Saccharomyces cerevisiae S288C: one gene and its partners. The protein of the gene in region 2 interacts with the protein of the main gene of each other region in a pairwise test. Each region holds a gene or a part of one and is shown on either strand. Other genes may lie near its edges.

What was found.
Region 1: the proteins of RRP36 (region 2) and SGD1 interact in a two-hybrid assay, tested with the Saccharomyces cerevisiae proteins (2 studies listed by BioGRID).
Region 3: the proteins of RRP36 (region 2) and UTP20 interact in a two-hybrid assay, tested with the Saccharomyces cerevisiae proteins (one study listed by BioGRID).

The regions. Positions count from the first base shown.
Region 1 is NC_001144.5:799,197-804,264, forward strand, and holds SGD1 (Sgd1p), read right to left. Parts: upstream 3,201-5,068; coding exon 501-3,200; downstream 1-500. Other genes in the region: nucleoporin NUP2, read left to right, coding at 1-396; VRP1 (Vrp1p), read right to left, coding at 3,457-5,068. UniProt on the Saccharomyces cerevisiae protein: Involved in osmoregulatory glycerol response, probably through its interaction with PLC1 which regulates the expression of GDP1.
Region 2 is NC_001147.6:850,402-853,804, forward strand, and holds RRP36 (rRNA-processing protein RRP36), read right to left. Parts: upstream 1,439-3,403; coding exon 536-1,438; downstream 1-535. Other genes in the region: thiosulfate sulfurtransferase RDL2, read left to right, coding at 1-328; protein disulfide isomerase MPD1, read right to left, coding at 1,720-2,676; YOR289W (uncharacterized protein), read left to right, coding at 2,956-3,403.
Region 3 is NC_001134.8:225,854-233,668, reverse strand, and holds the start of UTP20 (Utp20p), read right to left. Parts: upstream 6,034-7,815; coding exon 1-6,033. UniProt on the Saccharomyces cerevisiae protein: Involved in nucleolar processing of pre-18S ribosomal RNA and ribosome assembly.

The DNA of each region.
Region 1 (5,068 bases), on a different chromosome or scaffold from region 2:
ACCCCAGAAGAATCAAAGCCAATAAACTTGCAAAACGGTGAGGAAGACGAAGTGGCTTTATTTTCGCAAAAAGCAAAATTAATGACATTCAATGCTGAAACCAAATCGTACGATTCAAGAGGCGTAGGCGAAATGAAGCTTTTGAAGAAAAAGGACGATCCTTCTAAAGTGCGCCTACTTTGTAGGTCTGACGGTATGGGTAATGTATTACTAAATGCAACTGTTGTAGACTCCTTCAAATATGAGCCTTTAGCTCCCGGAAATGATAATCTCATTAAAGCTCCTACTGTTGCGGCTGATGGGAAACTTGTAACTTATATCGTCAAGTTTAAGCAGAAGGAAGAAGGCCGCTCATTTACGAAAGCTATTGAAGATGCTAAAAAAGAAATGAAATAAGAGTAAATACAGTTAACAATTTTAAATAGAATAGAACCCTCATATTTTGTAGCTCAAGGTTATAGTTGAGCAAATAAAGAATACAAAATTTATTCCAAAAAACACTACGAATCTATATTTTCCAGTTCTTTGTCTATAATAGATTTGGCAGCTTTTGAAGCCCAAGCCAATCTTCTTTCATCCCTATCAAAAGCTTTATCTCCTTTCTTTCCTGCAAGGAAATTATGGTATCTAAATTTCTTGTTAATAAACCACTTCAAACCTTTGAGAATGAATAGCATATTTTCCGATTTAACGTTCTTCGTTAAAACATCGCGCAAATAATCATCGGAGTAGATTATACGCTTATTTCCACTTTCATCCATCTTGAGTTTCTTCTCACTTTTTTTAGCTACAGTTAAAAATAACTGAAATAGCAATATCTCCATAAATAACATCCCTTCTGTGTTTAATCCACCCATAAATGGAACATGCTTGAAAACATCTAATTTCAAAATGTCATTAGCAAGCAACGATCCAAAAAATCTCCCCTGATTTGAGATGCGAAGCAGTTTTTCTTTATCATCTAAATCATCTTCTTCGTCAGTATCGCTTTCAGAATCGAATTCTTTGTCTTCAAATTTTTTTATCACATCCCAGAATAGGAATTGAAACGACTTCGATAAATGGCTATACCTTTCACATATTTTGTTCGCGACCAATGCGTAGTAATGATTATAACCATTGGATCCACTATCAGCCAAAAGACAATGTAAAACAATTCTTGGAATTTCAAGAACTTGCTTATTTTTCAAGCTTAACTTTTCAAGTTTACTAAATGCATCCAGGTAATCTTGTGCAGACATAATACTTATAAATATAGCCCTTCGAATGTCAGTATTCATACGCTGTTGTCTGGCGATAATATTCCAATCTGGAATATCATCAAGAAGATCATCCTCGATTGAAATTTTAGATTTCTTGGACTTGCTGGCATCATTTTCATTATTGATCGAAACTTCAAAAGCATTTTCCATGTTTCCTCGCCAAGAAGCACCAACCAGCCACCATTTCCCCTTGGAATCAATGTTTTTAATGTCTTCCAGAGAAACCTGTAAAGGCTCCCAAGAAGAAGAAGAATTCAAAATGCTTTGCAAGTTTTTCTTTAATGGATGATGATCAGTCGCCAAAATAGAAGGCTTTAACCTGTTGTTTTTCAAGTCAGACATGGTATCCATTAAAAATCTCAATCTTGGGCTCTGCTCTTTTAAATTCTTGGCGTTCTTCAACAGTTCTGATCGTATATCTCTCAGGGCGGATGGATCATCACCCCGGATCAGTTGTCCTGAAATCGATATAATTCGTAAAAGTAACTCAGTAGTGAATTCATTAGGATCTGCTACAAATATTCGAATAATGTCATAGATTAAGCGACACGAAACAAATCCAAAATTATAACAATACGATAGTAAGGTTGCAATATTGATGCATATTTTAGAGGAAATTTTGCTCTGCTGATCCTTTAATATATTTTCCATTTCCTCTTCGTAATGATGCAGAAATGCCTCTACCGTTTTTTGAATGAAAAAAGCACCCACCTCAATACCTCTTAGTTTTGATAATGTATACGCAAGAGCAGCATAATTCATTATAAATCCGTCCAACAACTTCTGATTTTGGCTTATAATATTCAATATCCCTTTCGTTAACGATTCTGTAACGTACTGCCTAGGCAGGGAATCATACAATCTGTTTAAATCAGTGATAATAATAGTAATATTGGAGTCTGAAAGCTTATTCAAAGAGGAGTTGACCTTCTTGCTAATTTCAGACAAAGTACTATTGTTTTCACTATCATCCAATTTCTTTCTCAGTGATGGGGGAACATAGCTCTCTACAGATTGTGTGGGAGCTACATAGGGATTTTCCTTTTCTCTTCTATAATTATCATCCGAGTCCGCAACGCTGTCGTTATCAGATTCACTAAGCCCATCTGAGTCTTCAAAATCAGAAGCTGAAAGATCATCATCCGAGGAAAATGCTTTCTCGCTTGCTTCATCATCTTTTCTCATAGAATTAGTTTCTGTGGCAAAATCTCCATACTCTTCGTCACTTTTGCCATAATTTTCAAAGTATTCCAAACCTTCAAGAAGTCCACCAATAGCATCAAATTCATCTTTTGCATGTATAGCCTTCCTTTCTCCTTTCAAGCCCAACTTTTTTGCGTAATATTGCATGTCCATCTCGTCCCTTTCAAACGCTGATCTGTCTGAAGGGGCCAGCGGATAACTCACAAAATTCTCATTTGTATCTCTGTTACGAATATGTTTCTTTTCATATGAGTTACCTTTTATTTCTCCCGAGTTTTCAGCTCCTTGTATACCCTTTGCTTTCCGTTTCAATGATTCTAGTTTTTTCATTGTTTCTTCCGCAGACATTGCCTGCTCACCGCTTTCTTCTGCTACTTCATCAGTAAGCACTTCGTCACTATCCCAGTTTTCATTACTTTCTGATTCATCTGAAGAAATCGGATTTTTACCGTTAGCCTGCTTGCCTACGTTTTTCACACCTGCATTAGCACTCCTCTTTTCGGACGTTGGTGCTGATTTTAGCCGGCTGGAATTGATTTCTCTAGTTGATATAATTTTACGTTTCTTGTCGGCCCGTTCCATCTTTCTCTTTTCTTTACGGCTTAAATGTTTGCCATTTCCTCGTCTTCTCTTTTTTCCTTCTGAAATAGAAAACCTTTCATCTTGACTGTAGTCAAGAGTCTTCAACTCGTCCAAAATAACGCCTGGAATTCTAATACCATCTGTTTTTTGCATTGCCTCAATATTCTGCAGCTGTGGACTGGCTATCTTTAGTTAAGATGAGGCTTCGTAAGTAAGTTCAGTAGTCTTGTAAGCTCATCGCATTTTTTTTTTTTTGCTGGATTTTATATTTTTCACAGCGAAAAGGACGGGAAGCTAAAAGATTAAAAAATAAATATTGCAGATACCATATGTAATTTAGTAAAATATTTTTATAAAATATTATTATTTTCTTGTTCTTCAGTGATTTATTGTAACCATGGAGAAATGCTCACGTAAATAATGTTAAGTCCAATGGCACACTACTACCCTTTCCACTTGGATACAGTTTTGTTTTATTTTGAAAGGGACGTGGCTTAGGCATTTGTGACACATTAGTCCATTTAAATCTTGAATCATCTATAACAATTCTTTCATTTCCAGATTTGGCCCCAACGATAGAATTCGATCCCCCTATCGTATACCTACCTACATCAACATCTGGTTGATTTGTATGCGTATTATGCTTGTGTTGCAGCGTCGATCCACCTGTAGAAAATAACCGTTGTTTAAGGTTTTTACTGGGGCTATTAGAGGTACCGGTATCCATCGTAGATGGACTTGGTGGTGGGGGTGGCGACTTAGTGGGGTTCTTCGAAATTGATTCAGTTTCGGTACGAACGGAAAGTGTAGGCGCAACAGGAGGAGGTGATGGTATTGATGTAGACACGGATTGCTGAGGCAGACTTGGTGCACTAAATGTTGGCAATGGCGGAGCAGCTGCAACAGGAGGAGAAGGAGGTTTTTCGAGATTCGAGGAGGGAAGAACATCGTGTAATAAAGAAGCGGCGGGGACATTATTCTTGCTATCATCTGATAAAACTGGTGGAACTGGTGGAGGTGGAACGTGTCCAGGCAGTGCAGGGGCCTTTGCTTTTTTCATCCCTAACACAGTCTCACTCTTATCATTGGTGTGGTCATCACCTGATGCAGTTGGAGTCGGTAGCGATGTTATAGGAGGAGGAGGTGCACTAGGAGGCAAAGGAGGCGCCATAGCATCCGTATGGGGGGGTGGTGCGTTAAAAGCATTCGATGATGTTTGCTTATGTAATTTGGATTCAATTTCATCCAGAAACGACATACCATTTTGGCTACTCTGTTTAGGCGGGTTTATAGATGGAGAAATAGGAGAAGGTCTTACGTTATCATCCTTAGATGAACCTATTACATCCTCTTGTTTATCTTGGGTAGTGTATCCAGTATCACCACCAACCACGAATCTATCATCTCTCTTCTTTTGGATCTCAGCAAGAAATGGTAAGGGTCCCCCAGGTGTTACGGCCGAGGAAGAACTGGATGAAGATATTTTGGATTGCTTACTGGACGCTGAGGGTTTGTTTGTCGTGAGTGTTGGAGGAGGAGGAGGAGCCGATGGTACTGACGTTGCAACCGAAGGAGGAGGAGGAGGTGGTAGTGGTGCTAAAGGAATAGATGATGCTGACAAGGCAGAGGATGTTGAAAAAGCACCAGGTGGTGGGGGAGGAGGAGGTGGTGGCGCGGGCATTGACGATGCTTTGTTAGGAGGAACTGATGTAGTATTTGGTAACGGTGGTGCTAAAGTTGGGGGAACCGGGGTTGCTTTTACGCTGTTAGTCGACGCAGAGCTCATGGCTGCTGGTAGTGGTGGTGGAGGCGGAGCTGGAGCTGAAGTTGCTTTTTTAGGTGCAGAGGTCACATTTGGTAACGATGGTGGAGGTGGTGCAGTAGGCGGTAATGGCGGAGCATGTGATGTAGGAATGGGCGGAGCAGATGATGGAAGTGGTGGTTGTGAAGGAGATTTATGATTTTCGGTTTGAATCTTTGTGGAAGAAACGCCCTCGACGGCTCCTCGTTCAGACCTCCTG
Region 2 (3,403 bases):
AGTCGAACACCCCAATGATAAAAAACTATTGGTAGATGTAAGGGAACCCAAGGAAGTAAAGGATTACAAGATGCCAACTACAATAAATATTCCGGTGAATAGTGCCCCTGGCGCTCTTGGATTGCCCGAAAAGGAGTTTCACAAAGTTTTCCAATTTGCTAAACCACCTCACGATAAAGAATTGATTTTTCTTTGTGCGAAAGGAGTAAGAGCCAAAACTGCCGAAGAGTTGGCTCGATCTTATGGGTACGAAAACACTGGTATCTATCCTGGTTCTATTACTGAGTGGTTAGCTAAAGGTGGTGCTGACGTTAAGCCCAAAAAATAAGCCAAAAAGAAACAAGTATAATCGATATATCCTGTATATAGACAACCTTTTGTGTATTTCAAATTTTTTGTTGTCACCTCTCCGATTCATTCGATTTTCTCCTTGTGGTTCGCGGATAACCTCTTACTTCCATTAGTTTATGTGTGCGTTTATTTTTTTATCTTTCTCTATATATTACTTTAATGTGCATTCTTTTGCTTAAATACTCTACCTACGATTATGAAATTCAAATTGTTTAAACTCTTTACCCAATCTCTTCTTCCTTTTCCTTTCCATGACCTTTTCACGTTGCTTGGCCTTCATGTGATCAAATTTCCACTTTTGCACCACTTTACGTTTCTCAGACTTTTTCAAATGGTATCTCGTATTATTGTTTTTATTCATATCATTTTCGTATTCCTTGAGAATTTCACGCTCGAGATCTTTGTTTTTCATTGATTGCAATCTCGATTTCATACTTTTCAGTCTTTGTTCCATTTCTTCACGTTCTCCCTGGTCTATTTTTGATAGAAATTTTCTTTCTTGTAACAGCTTCTGCAGTTCATCAATTTCTTTTTCTCTATATTCGTCCAAGAACTGGTAACGTTTTCTTATGATAGAACTATCAAGGGCTTTACCGGTGGACTTATCAAATCTGATGTCCTGATAGAGGTTAGACCTTTTATTCCTCGGTATTTCCAGCCCAGGGATATTTCGGACTCGTGGTACCCTTTTCTTGGATGATTGTTCTACTGGAGCGTGTTTGCTCTTCTTTTTTGGTACTTTCTGACCATGATGAGTTTCATCCTCACTATCTTCTTCAAAGAATCCAGCATCCTCGTCTGATTGGTCCTCACTGTCCTCATCTTCATCAAAACTTTCTTCTCTGTATGTAGTTGTGATCGGTTTTTTGTGAACGGGTTTCGTATCTTTGAAATCTTCTTCATCTATTACCGTTTCAGCCTTCTTCAAAGAACCAAAAGACAAGGTTTTCAACTCATCGTCACTTGATTCTTGTTCGTCAATTTCTCGCTTACTTTTGTTCGCCATTATGCTCTCCAATAAGTTTCCGTCATCTTCTTCTACGTCGGAGTTCAAGTCTGGCTTCAGATTTTTAAAGTAATACGACATTTTTAACCTTCTAGTGCTTATTGACCCTCTATACAATTTTTGGATGGCAATTTAATTATACTATTTAGTACTTATTCTTATGCCCCAGTTTTCCGGTAGAAAGGCAAGCTCATCGGTTGAAAATTTTCAAAGCGGGTAATAAACGTGTCTTTCGGTATTTAACCGCTCAGATAAAAGTTATTATTGCAAATAAAAGTAAACGTCCATGCCATCAGTTAGTGGACTATATAGATACATATGTTGTGTTTAATTAGATAATCATTGAATGAGGAAACGTACCACTACAATTCGTCGTGCTTGTTTCCTGAGGAGGAATGGTTCTTTTTAATTGGCTTCTTGCCAGTTTTTAAGTAAGCAATATATTCAGAACGTCTACTAAAAGGACCCTCATTGGGGGTAATACTAAAAGTGTCCCGCAGAAATTTGGAAATGTCATTTTTGTTGATTGAGTTCCCTTCATACTCCCAAAATTTATCTTTGTCTGCATCAAAAACGACAAGCTTACTTTTATCGCTCTGTCGCTGTTCAGGAATGACCTTCTGCAAATATTTGAAAATCTCAGGAGTTTTTTCATATGTTGGGTTCATATCGGTTAGTTGCTTGAGTTTTTTGTTTGAAATTGAATAAAAATCGAACTTTCCTAACCAATCAAGGGCAATGCTTTTATAAACCGGTGAAATTTTGTCTTGTTTGGAAAACAACACCACGGAAAGTTTGGGTGACTTTCTAAGTAAAGAGCCAAGTGTATCTATACGGACAAACTTTTTGACATATGACCTTATTCTTGAAAGAGAAAAATCAACAATAGGCGCGAGAGTTCTTGCACCTGAGTACACTTCATTGGCATGAGCGCTGAAACTTTTTTTGGCGTTATCTATTGGCTTAGATAGGTCAATTTTTGGGGGCCTAAATACCATTAACGTGGGAAATCCGTTTACGTCGTATTTAGCACACAAAGCCTTATTCTTGTTAAGGTCACAGTTTACAGCAGCAACTTGGACTACACCATCCAATCTTTTTGCTGCCTTGCGGAACGTACTAGAGAGCTTCTTACAATGGCCGCACCACGGAGCATAAAATTCCACTAATGATGTGTAATTTGTGTTATGGATCGCTTTATCGAAGCTTTTTGGCGTTAACTCTGATATATGAGGATCGGAATCGTAAAAGTTTTGCGCCTTTACTTCATTCATAATAAAAAGTCCCAAAAGGAGCTTAATAATATTAAGAAATAACATTATATGTCAAATTTTGTCTCTCCTAATTGTGTTAAGTGGATGCTTACTGTTGAAAATGACTGCGAAAAGATATTTCTCTTCATGTTATTTAACTTTTACGTGTCAATTTTAATTTTTACCAAATTTTTATACGCCTCGCAAGGCTCGAACAACGGCCCTTTTTTCAAGGGATAAGCACATGACACTGGGCGACAAAGGAGGAATATAAAGAGAAATTTGCGTCAATTTGTATCCAGATAAGATCCTTTGAAAAGATGGTTTTTGGCTTGTGCGATAGTAATGGCTTTAAGGCTATTTCGAAAATCCAGTTTTTTTGCAAAGATATCAATGGAAGGCCCTAAAGGTTCATCGCCATTTGCGTTTTACGCATTTTATCAACTTTATTCGCACTTGAATCCGGGGAAATCGAGCAGCCTTTCTTTAGAAGATATTAGAAGAAGGCTATACCCCGACTTTAAAATAGATTACAATGAGAAAACTTCGTTGTTCATAACTTGGAAGAAAAAGTCCAATAAACATCACACAATAGACACTAACGAAGAGAATTATATACTTAGAGGATGTATCGGTACATTTGCTAAGATGCCGATTGCACATGGTATTGAGAAATATTCCTTGATTGCTGCTTTAGAGGATAGGAGATTTTCTCCGATCCAGAAAAGGGAATTGGTGGACCTGAAATGCAGTTGCAACATCTTAGGCAACTTCAAAACTATTTTTCGAGGTG
Region 3 (7,815 bases), on a different chromosome or scaffold from region 2:
GATATGTTTTGAAACAAGTGCTTTTAGGAAATTAAAAGCAAGGCCTTGTCTGCTTGGTTCATTTAAATCTGGTAAGACCCTCCCTAGAACATAACTCAAAGCAGTATCCTTTAATGTTGAATCTGTGTGACGTATAAAGGCAGAAAGAAACTTTAAACCCATTTGGCATAATTCGCTTGAAGTTGAAGGAGAAACCTTGATAATATTTAGTACCTTCCTCGCACAGTTTTTGAAGATTTCACTAGATTCATCGGAAAAATCTAGCCTAATTAATGTAATCAGGATACGTAAAGTACTAATTACCACACCTTCATTTTCCGAAAGTAACGAATCTCTCAAAAATGGAATAAAACCCTCTAGGTGCGAGACAGTTAAAAAGGAGCGGTGTCTCGTTATTACGTTCCTAAGTAAGTCTAAAGCAAATTTTTGTAAAGTGCTGTTCAAAAGCAAACTGTTTGAGTTGATGGTATAAGATTTCGACTCCAAATTTACCAAGAAAAAGTCTTCTTTTTCATCTACTTGGTCTTTCACTTTTTTCTTTGGTATTTGAGGGGAATTACTCATTTCTGATTCCTGGAAAAGCTGATGGCAGAACTTGAGGATACTTTCTGACTCAGAGTCACTATTATGATTTAAACCCAACAAATATCGTCTCAATAATTCACTCAGTTTGTTTTGATTTCTTAGATTAATTCTGACCATCAACAAAGCCTTCACAGGAGAGAGTAATGTTCCAAATTCTGTCAGGCTGATGTTTGAGGCGAGAATTTCACCAGCATCATAGCTTTTATTACTCTTAATTTCTTTCACTTTTGTATGATAATTCTCAGAGTCTTTTTCTTCACCAGCGAACCCAAAGATATTTTCCATTATAATCTTAACAATCATACTGGACGAGGTATCCAAATCGGAGTGTTTTAAGACTCCGTGCATACTCTTTAATATGTAGTGGACAGTGTAACTTAACACATGAATTTGAGAACCACGTTTTAATGTAGCCATTAATTCCTTTATCACAAAGACAAGATACTCAGCGCCCAAGATAATACTGATTTTACCCAAGGTTACTCTTACTGCATCTCTTAATTCTTCGGATTTACTTCTCAAAACTTGGCAAATATTTGTTAGAATACTAGGGAGGAAATTAGTAATATCATCATTTGTGAGCCCTAAAACAATATTAACTAATGCCTCCGCAATAGGCATTCTTTCAATTATAGTTTCGTCATCTCTAGTGCCAAGAATTTTCGAAAGAGTCGGATACAATTCTTGCTTAATAAAATTACTGGGTTCATCTAAGTTGGAAGGAAATTTGCTCAAAGTAAGTTTCGACTCAGCCCCATCTCTTACGATACGAAGAGTTTCTCTAAGTGGAACAGAAAGTTGAACAATTAATTGTACGGCTTGCTTCATTTGGTTAGGCTTGGTTTTCAACATAGAAATGTACCTTCTAAGAAGAGCTTTGTATTGATTCCAACTCATGTGCTGCGCCAACCCTCCGATGGCTATTTGGGTCTCATTTCCAATATTTCTGTATCTTTCATCATCCGAAAAGACATAATGTTCGATCATTGGAATTAAATAATGGGATATACTGTTATCTTTGAGTTGATGAGCATGTTCACCTAGTCTTTTAATGGCTCTCTGACGACGATGAAGCTGAATATGATTAACGTTTGTAAAAAAATCTGCTTCTTCATCACCATTGTACAGTAAAATGGCCATATCTTCGAAGTCGGTGAAATATTTCGTGTTTTTTACCATATATGATAGCACTGATACATACTCACTTTGTACCTCTTCTAGGGAGTCTCTGAGGCCAATCCTTATATTGGGTAAAAGTATATCCTTCAGCATAGAAATCGATTTTGAAGCTTCATTAAGATTAGGCTTTTCGTTAATGAAGTCAATAAACTTCATTATAGCGTGGGATGCGTTTGTTCTTAACGCAAGTTCTTCCTTATTATTGATAAAATGTAAAAAGGTGAACAACAGAGGTAACCACTCTAACTCACTGTAGGACTTATAACCATCTTCAATTAACCCCTTGAAAGTTGATAAAATTCTAGGAAAATCATATTCATGCATACGTGATGAGGAGTATGAATTCAAGTCCGCAACCAATTTCGAAATACTTTCTAATTCAGGAACTTTTCTACCGAGTTCTATGAAGAGCTCTGTCAAGGAAACCCTGAGGTTTCGCTCGTCAAATGTTTTGAACAAAGAAGATATGGTAGTGTATAGTTCTTCAATATCACTCCAAGAACAATTGTAGTTGAAAACTATCAGCTTTAATATTTTCAAAATTTTTTGGGTATCATTTTCCTGCAGTTTTTTTAGCTTTCCTTTTAATATTGATATTAATGAACTAATTAAACGACTTCTAACATGATCATCTTGAATAAATCCCATCTCAGTGATACTAACTAGCAAATTCAAAAATGTGGAAATCGAGTTTGAGTCAGAAAGTTTGACATATAGCGAAGGAAGTATTTTCAGACATGATGTGCAGATGAGAGTCACCAAATCTACGTAGTGATCATCATTTACTGGATTTCTAATAATTGAGTCCGCCGCTTCAATTATTGGGCCAATAACAGCTTCCTTAACGTGTTGGTTTGATATGGTGTCCATCAATGCAGTGGCAGTTGCAAATTCATCGTAATACAAAAACTGGTACAGAGATGGATTGTGTGCCCAATAAAGGAAAAGTCTTAGTAAAGAGGAGGGTTGTTGTAAGTTTTCATCCGAAAAATGTGAAATACGAGGCTTAACTACAACGGCGTAAATATCTTCCATAGAAGTAGACCAATCAAATGTATTTCCAACAAATTCAAAGACACTACTTAAACATTTTAGACCTTGTTGCCTTAAATTACTTGCCATCTTTCTTAAATGTACCTCCTCTGTGCTCTCAGTATCTAAGACATAGTATGCCATAGCAATTGAATAGATCAACGGCTGCAGCACTGAATTAGTATGCAAAGGAAAATTTGTTCTTAATACAGACAGAGTAGAATTTACAATGTTAACGAAACCAGTCATCCGTCTGATAGTTTTCAAGGTAGCCTTTGAGCTATTTATTTGATGGCTGTTCCCAAAAAAATAATTATAATCCAGCCTTTCACTAGCCAAACTCAAAAAATCATTAATATATGGCTTCTTAAAATTTGGCAAAACTGAAATGACAGCTATTTTGCGGCTTCTTTTCTGTCCACTAGTTGGGGGGACTTGTGCTCGACCGAAGAAAATTCTAAGGACATAAGGCATGACTACCTTTTCGTCCTCAGCCTTGATAGACTGCGACCCATTTTCGGTTAAAAAAGTCGTAATCTCGTCCTTGAATAAGGTGTCATCTAGTAGATTTTTCAAATTATCTCTATATTTATTCAACGTTGGATTTTTGTATGCAAGAAGTGCGTCCAACGCAAGCTTCTGAACGTCTGTATTACGGCTACCCAACAGTACCATCAGATGATCGTGCAATTCTGTTGCACTATAAACATTCTTTATATTTTTGAACTTGCTTAAAGTCTTTAAAAACACGTTTCTATCAACTTCTGTCCATGAACCAGTAATAACACGTTCATTTTCCATATCCTCTTCATCTTTGTAAGTCTTGAAGTCATTATAAACAAAAGGTGCGATGTCGACGAAGTGATTTTCAGCAACTTGAGGAATCGATAGCATAACTTTTAGAGCCTGATTTCTAATTAAAATTGGGTAGGTGGTGTTCCCCCTTCTTTCAATAGTAGTAGATATAATGCTCGTATTTTGAGTAGAATACTTTGACCAAATATGTGAGAACGTATCAATAGTGTCCCTTAACCTCACTACACTCGAATCCCACAGAACTTTGTTTGCACCATCTTCAAGAAGAGGCTGGTAGTAATCCAAATTTTGATTTTCATCAGGAAGTTTAATGAATGATAGCACAAGTTTCCAAACGAGGGCTTCATCTTTTGTGTAAACATTAGGAAGAGTGTCAAAAACACCAGTCCAAACTGGAGAGAATCTAACGGTAAGAAGGCCAAATAAGTATTTGAGAAAGAAAGAGGATACTAGCTTGTCTGTTTTGGTTTTTCCGAATTCGGCACCAACATTCTTGATTCTAATGGTTAAATCTCTGGCATTTTGTAGTGTAAGAGGTATTTCCTCGATAACCATACATGAAGAAAGGAGGTCAGGTACTTGCATACCCTGCAAAATCATTAATGTCTTCATTAATTCTAAAGTTTCATAACGAATCTTCCCATCAGGCAACATAAAATTATCTGTCAAGCTAAGGAGTAGACTTGGATAGTGTGACATTAGTCCTTTTAAGCTTTCTGAAGGATGAAGATTACTCACTAACTTGTTCCATCCTCTTAAAAAGTTTAAACTTTCTTTATAGTTTTCGTAATTATCCAGAATAGTCTTTAATAGATTATTCCCTGAAGCGTCGTCTTCTTTACGATATATTTTTAAGAGTGTACCGACCATATCTTTCGTAAAATTATCTGGTGATGCAAAAGTTGAAAAGATACGTTCAAGCAATGGGATAATAATTTCTGTATTCTGTAATTTCGAATATTTAAAAATTATAGCTCGCCAATATATTTCGAAAAGGTCATTCGAATCATTAATTTCTGCTGTGACAAAAAAATCTCTGATAGATAAAATAAATTCTTCTGGGAAATTTACTTCCCGTACTTTCTGCAGTTCAGGCTTATCATCTACTTCTAGAAAAAAAAGTGCAATTTTTTTTCCTTGTGATTGCCAATTTTTCTTTAAAAATAACTGTAGGAATTTTAATCCATTGAATGAAAATACTCTTTCATAGCTTAGCCTTAAAGCAAATTGAAAGAATTCAAGGAAACAGTCAGATATATTTGTTAAAGCGTAGTTAAAAAGTTTTTGGTGGAATAATGTTAAAGTTTTCACGTCACTGTTACGAATAAATAAAGCAAATAGGAAAGCCACTTTATCCTGTGAAAGCGAAGCACAATTTTCACTTTGACTCATTATTCTTTCAATTAGGATAGTAATTTTATTCCAATCAGGAATTTTTCTACCACTTTCCGAGAAGACAATTGTTGTCAATACTTTTAATATTCTATCGATATTGGTGGCATCGAGAGAATCGTTAAAATCCTGATACATAACTTCATAGACTGGAAGTAAACTTTCGATTGAGGCGTACTTACTAATGTTCATCCAAATATCTGAGAGCAATGAAACAGATCTTTCCGGGGATGATTTGGTCAAAGCTTCATGCAAAAGAACGCTCATGATAGCTTTAGCTTTCGAATGCAGAGTTTCTTGCGTTGACGTCATGGATTCTGTGAATAATATCAGAAGCCCTTCGTAGAGGTTAGTTTGCTCATCATCTCCCTCTAACTTTTCAAAAACTGATCTAACAAACTCGCGCAAGTTAGAAACAGGACACTTTCTTACTAAAAAAGATAATGCTTCTGCTGAAAATCTTGAAAGATATTCCTTAGAATGAGACAATAGTGGAATTAAAAGATCACATGTGAGTACCAGTTTTTTAACCAAAAATTTCGAGAGATACTTGAAAATATAAGCCAAACAGTTGAAACCCCACTCAAAAACATTAGATGACTCAAATTCTATAGCAGCGTCTAACAGATTTATTAAAGTTTTGATAGCTTCTTCATAAAATTTAAGAAAATCTGGACCTAAATCATGACAAAATTGAGCCAAGAGGTCCAGAAGCGGTTGCAAAGAAAACTCATCGTGAAAGTTAATGAATGAAACCAAAGAATTAAAAATCTTTTTATCATGATATAGTATTTGGGGTAATGTTTGAACATCATGCTCAATTTCCGCTGCAAACTCCGTAAATTTGGCACTTAAATTAATTTCTTTCCACTGATCAAAGGAAGCGAGAAAATGCGACGACTCGACATAATCATGTACCCTTTTTTCCAAATTTCTAGCCGGTTCAATCTTCAAATCGTCAATCCTAGCCTTGAAGGAAGAATATCTATATCGCTTAGACGATTTAGTAGTTTGTCTTTGTTTAGCCATACTTTCAATGAAATATGTGTAACTGATACTAGAAATATACCAATACGGCCAACAACGTAAAACTGGATGTAAACAGGAAAGAATATGATCTTTAATTTACAACCTACACTACCTGTTTAATCGGTGGTTTTTACGCTACCAAATTTAATAATGCAACTTTTCAATGCTCATCGGTAAAAATTTTCGGAAAGACATAAACTCAAAATTTTTTCTTTACAAAAGTCCGGGTGACATTACATACATACGCCTTCAAAACACTACCTTAGAAAATGAAGCGAGAGGTACATTTCATTAGCTTTAAATGAGCCAGGAAGAAATACACTGCAGCCGATATAACTCATATAGCATACTTTTAACGGGTGATAAGTCGTTACGAAGAAGGCCAAGTTCTATGCCAATCTTTTAATAAAACATAAACGTGATGCTTTTACCACGTATTCCATTGACTTTACGTACTCTTATTACTGTCCAAAAAATAACGACAACTGCAGGACTCGAACCTGCGCGGGCAAAGCCCAAAAGATTTCTAATCTTTCGCCTTAACCACTCGGCCAAGTTGCCTCGTTTTACATGATATCATAACTTACCAGAATAAATAAACCGTCATTATGAATTATCTATAAATATCAAACATGTATGAAACTGGGAATTCTGATAAATTTTGTCATAACTGTTGGGATTCCTGAGAAATGGGGGAATGTTGAGATAATTGTTGGGATTCCATTGTTGATAAAGGCTATAATATTAGGTATACAGAATATACTAGAAGTTCTCCTCAAGGATATAGGAATCCTCAAAATGGAATCTATATTTCTACATACTAATATTACGATTATTCCTCATTCCGTTTTATATGTTTCATTATCCTATTACATTATCAATCCTTGCACTTCAGCTTCCTCTAACTTCGATGACAGCTTCTCATAACTTATGTCATCATCTTAACACCGTATATGATAATATATTGATAATATAACTATTAGTTGATAGACGATAGTGGATTTTTATTCCAACATACCACCCATAATGTAATAGATCTAATGAATCCATTTGTTTGTTAATAGTTTGAATGTTTTTATCGGAAGAGGTTTGGTCATTACGTCTGCAATATTCTTTTTGGTTTCGATATAGCATACGTGCAGATGATTTCCTGATACTTCATCTCTCAGTCTCATTGCTTTAGTACCAAAAAATCTGTTTCTAAATTTCTCTTCATTATTGGATATAATTATACTGATTGTAGATTTACTGTCGGTTAGTAATCCTTTGGTAATTGGTTTCTTGTCGAGTTCTTGTATCAGGTAACTTAGATTATTTAATAATGGGACAGATTCACTTATTGCGTGTATTTCTGCTTCCGTGGTTGAAGTACATGTTAATGAAGCCTTGGTGGACTTTCCTCCAATTACTTTTCCATTAAGTAAATATATGTTGCCAATTTGTGATTTATAATACGGTTGGTTACCATACGAGGCATCGCTTATAACAACTAATTTATTTGTTGGCTTAACAGGTTTGCTTTTGTGCCATATTAATTGCTTATCTCTCGTATTCCATATGAACTGTATCAATTCATATGTCATATCTAACACTTGCTTGGACGGAAATAGTATATGTTGTGCAAGTGTGTTGATGTAGTATAATAGGTCAAATCTAAATTTATATCCAACATATGATGCTAGACCTATCAGCTTTTGCATTTCATGTACCTTCATTTTGTAATCATCTTCTTCTAGCTCTAGTTCTTGCTGGTCTATATATAGACCTGGTTGACCTGGAGCG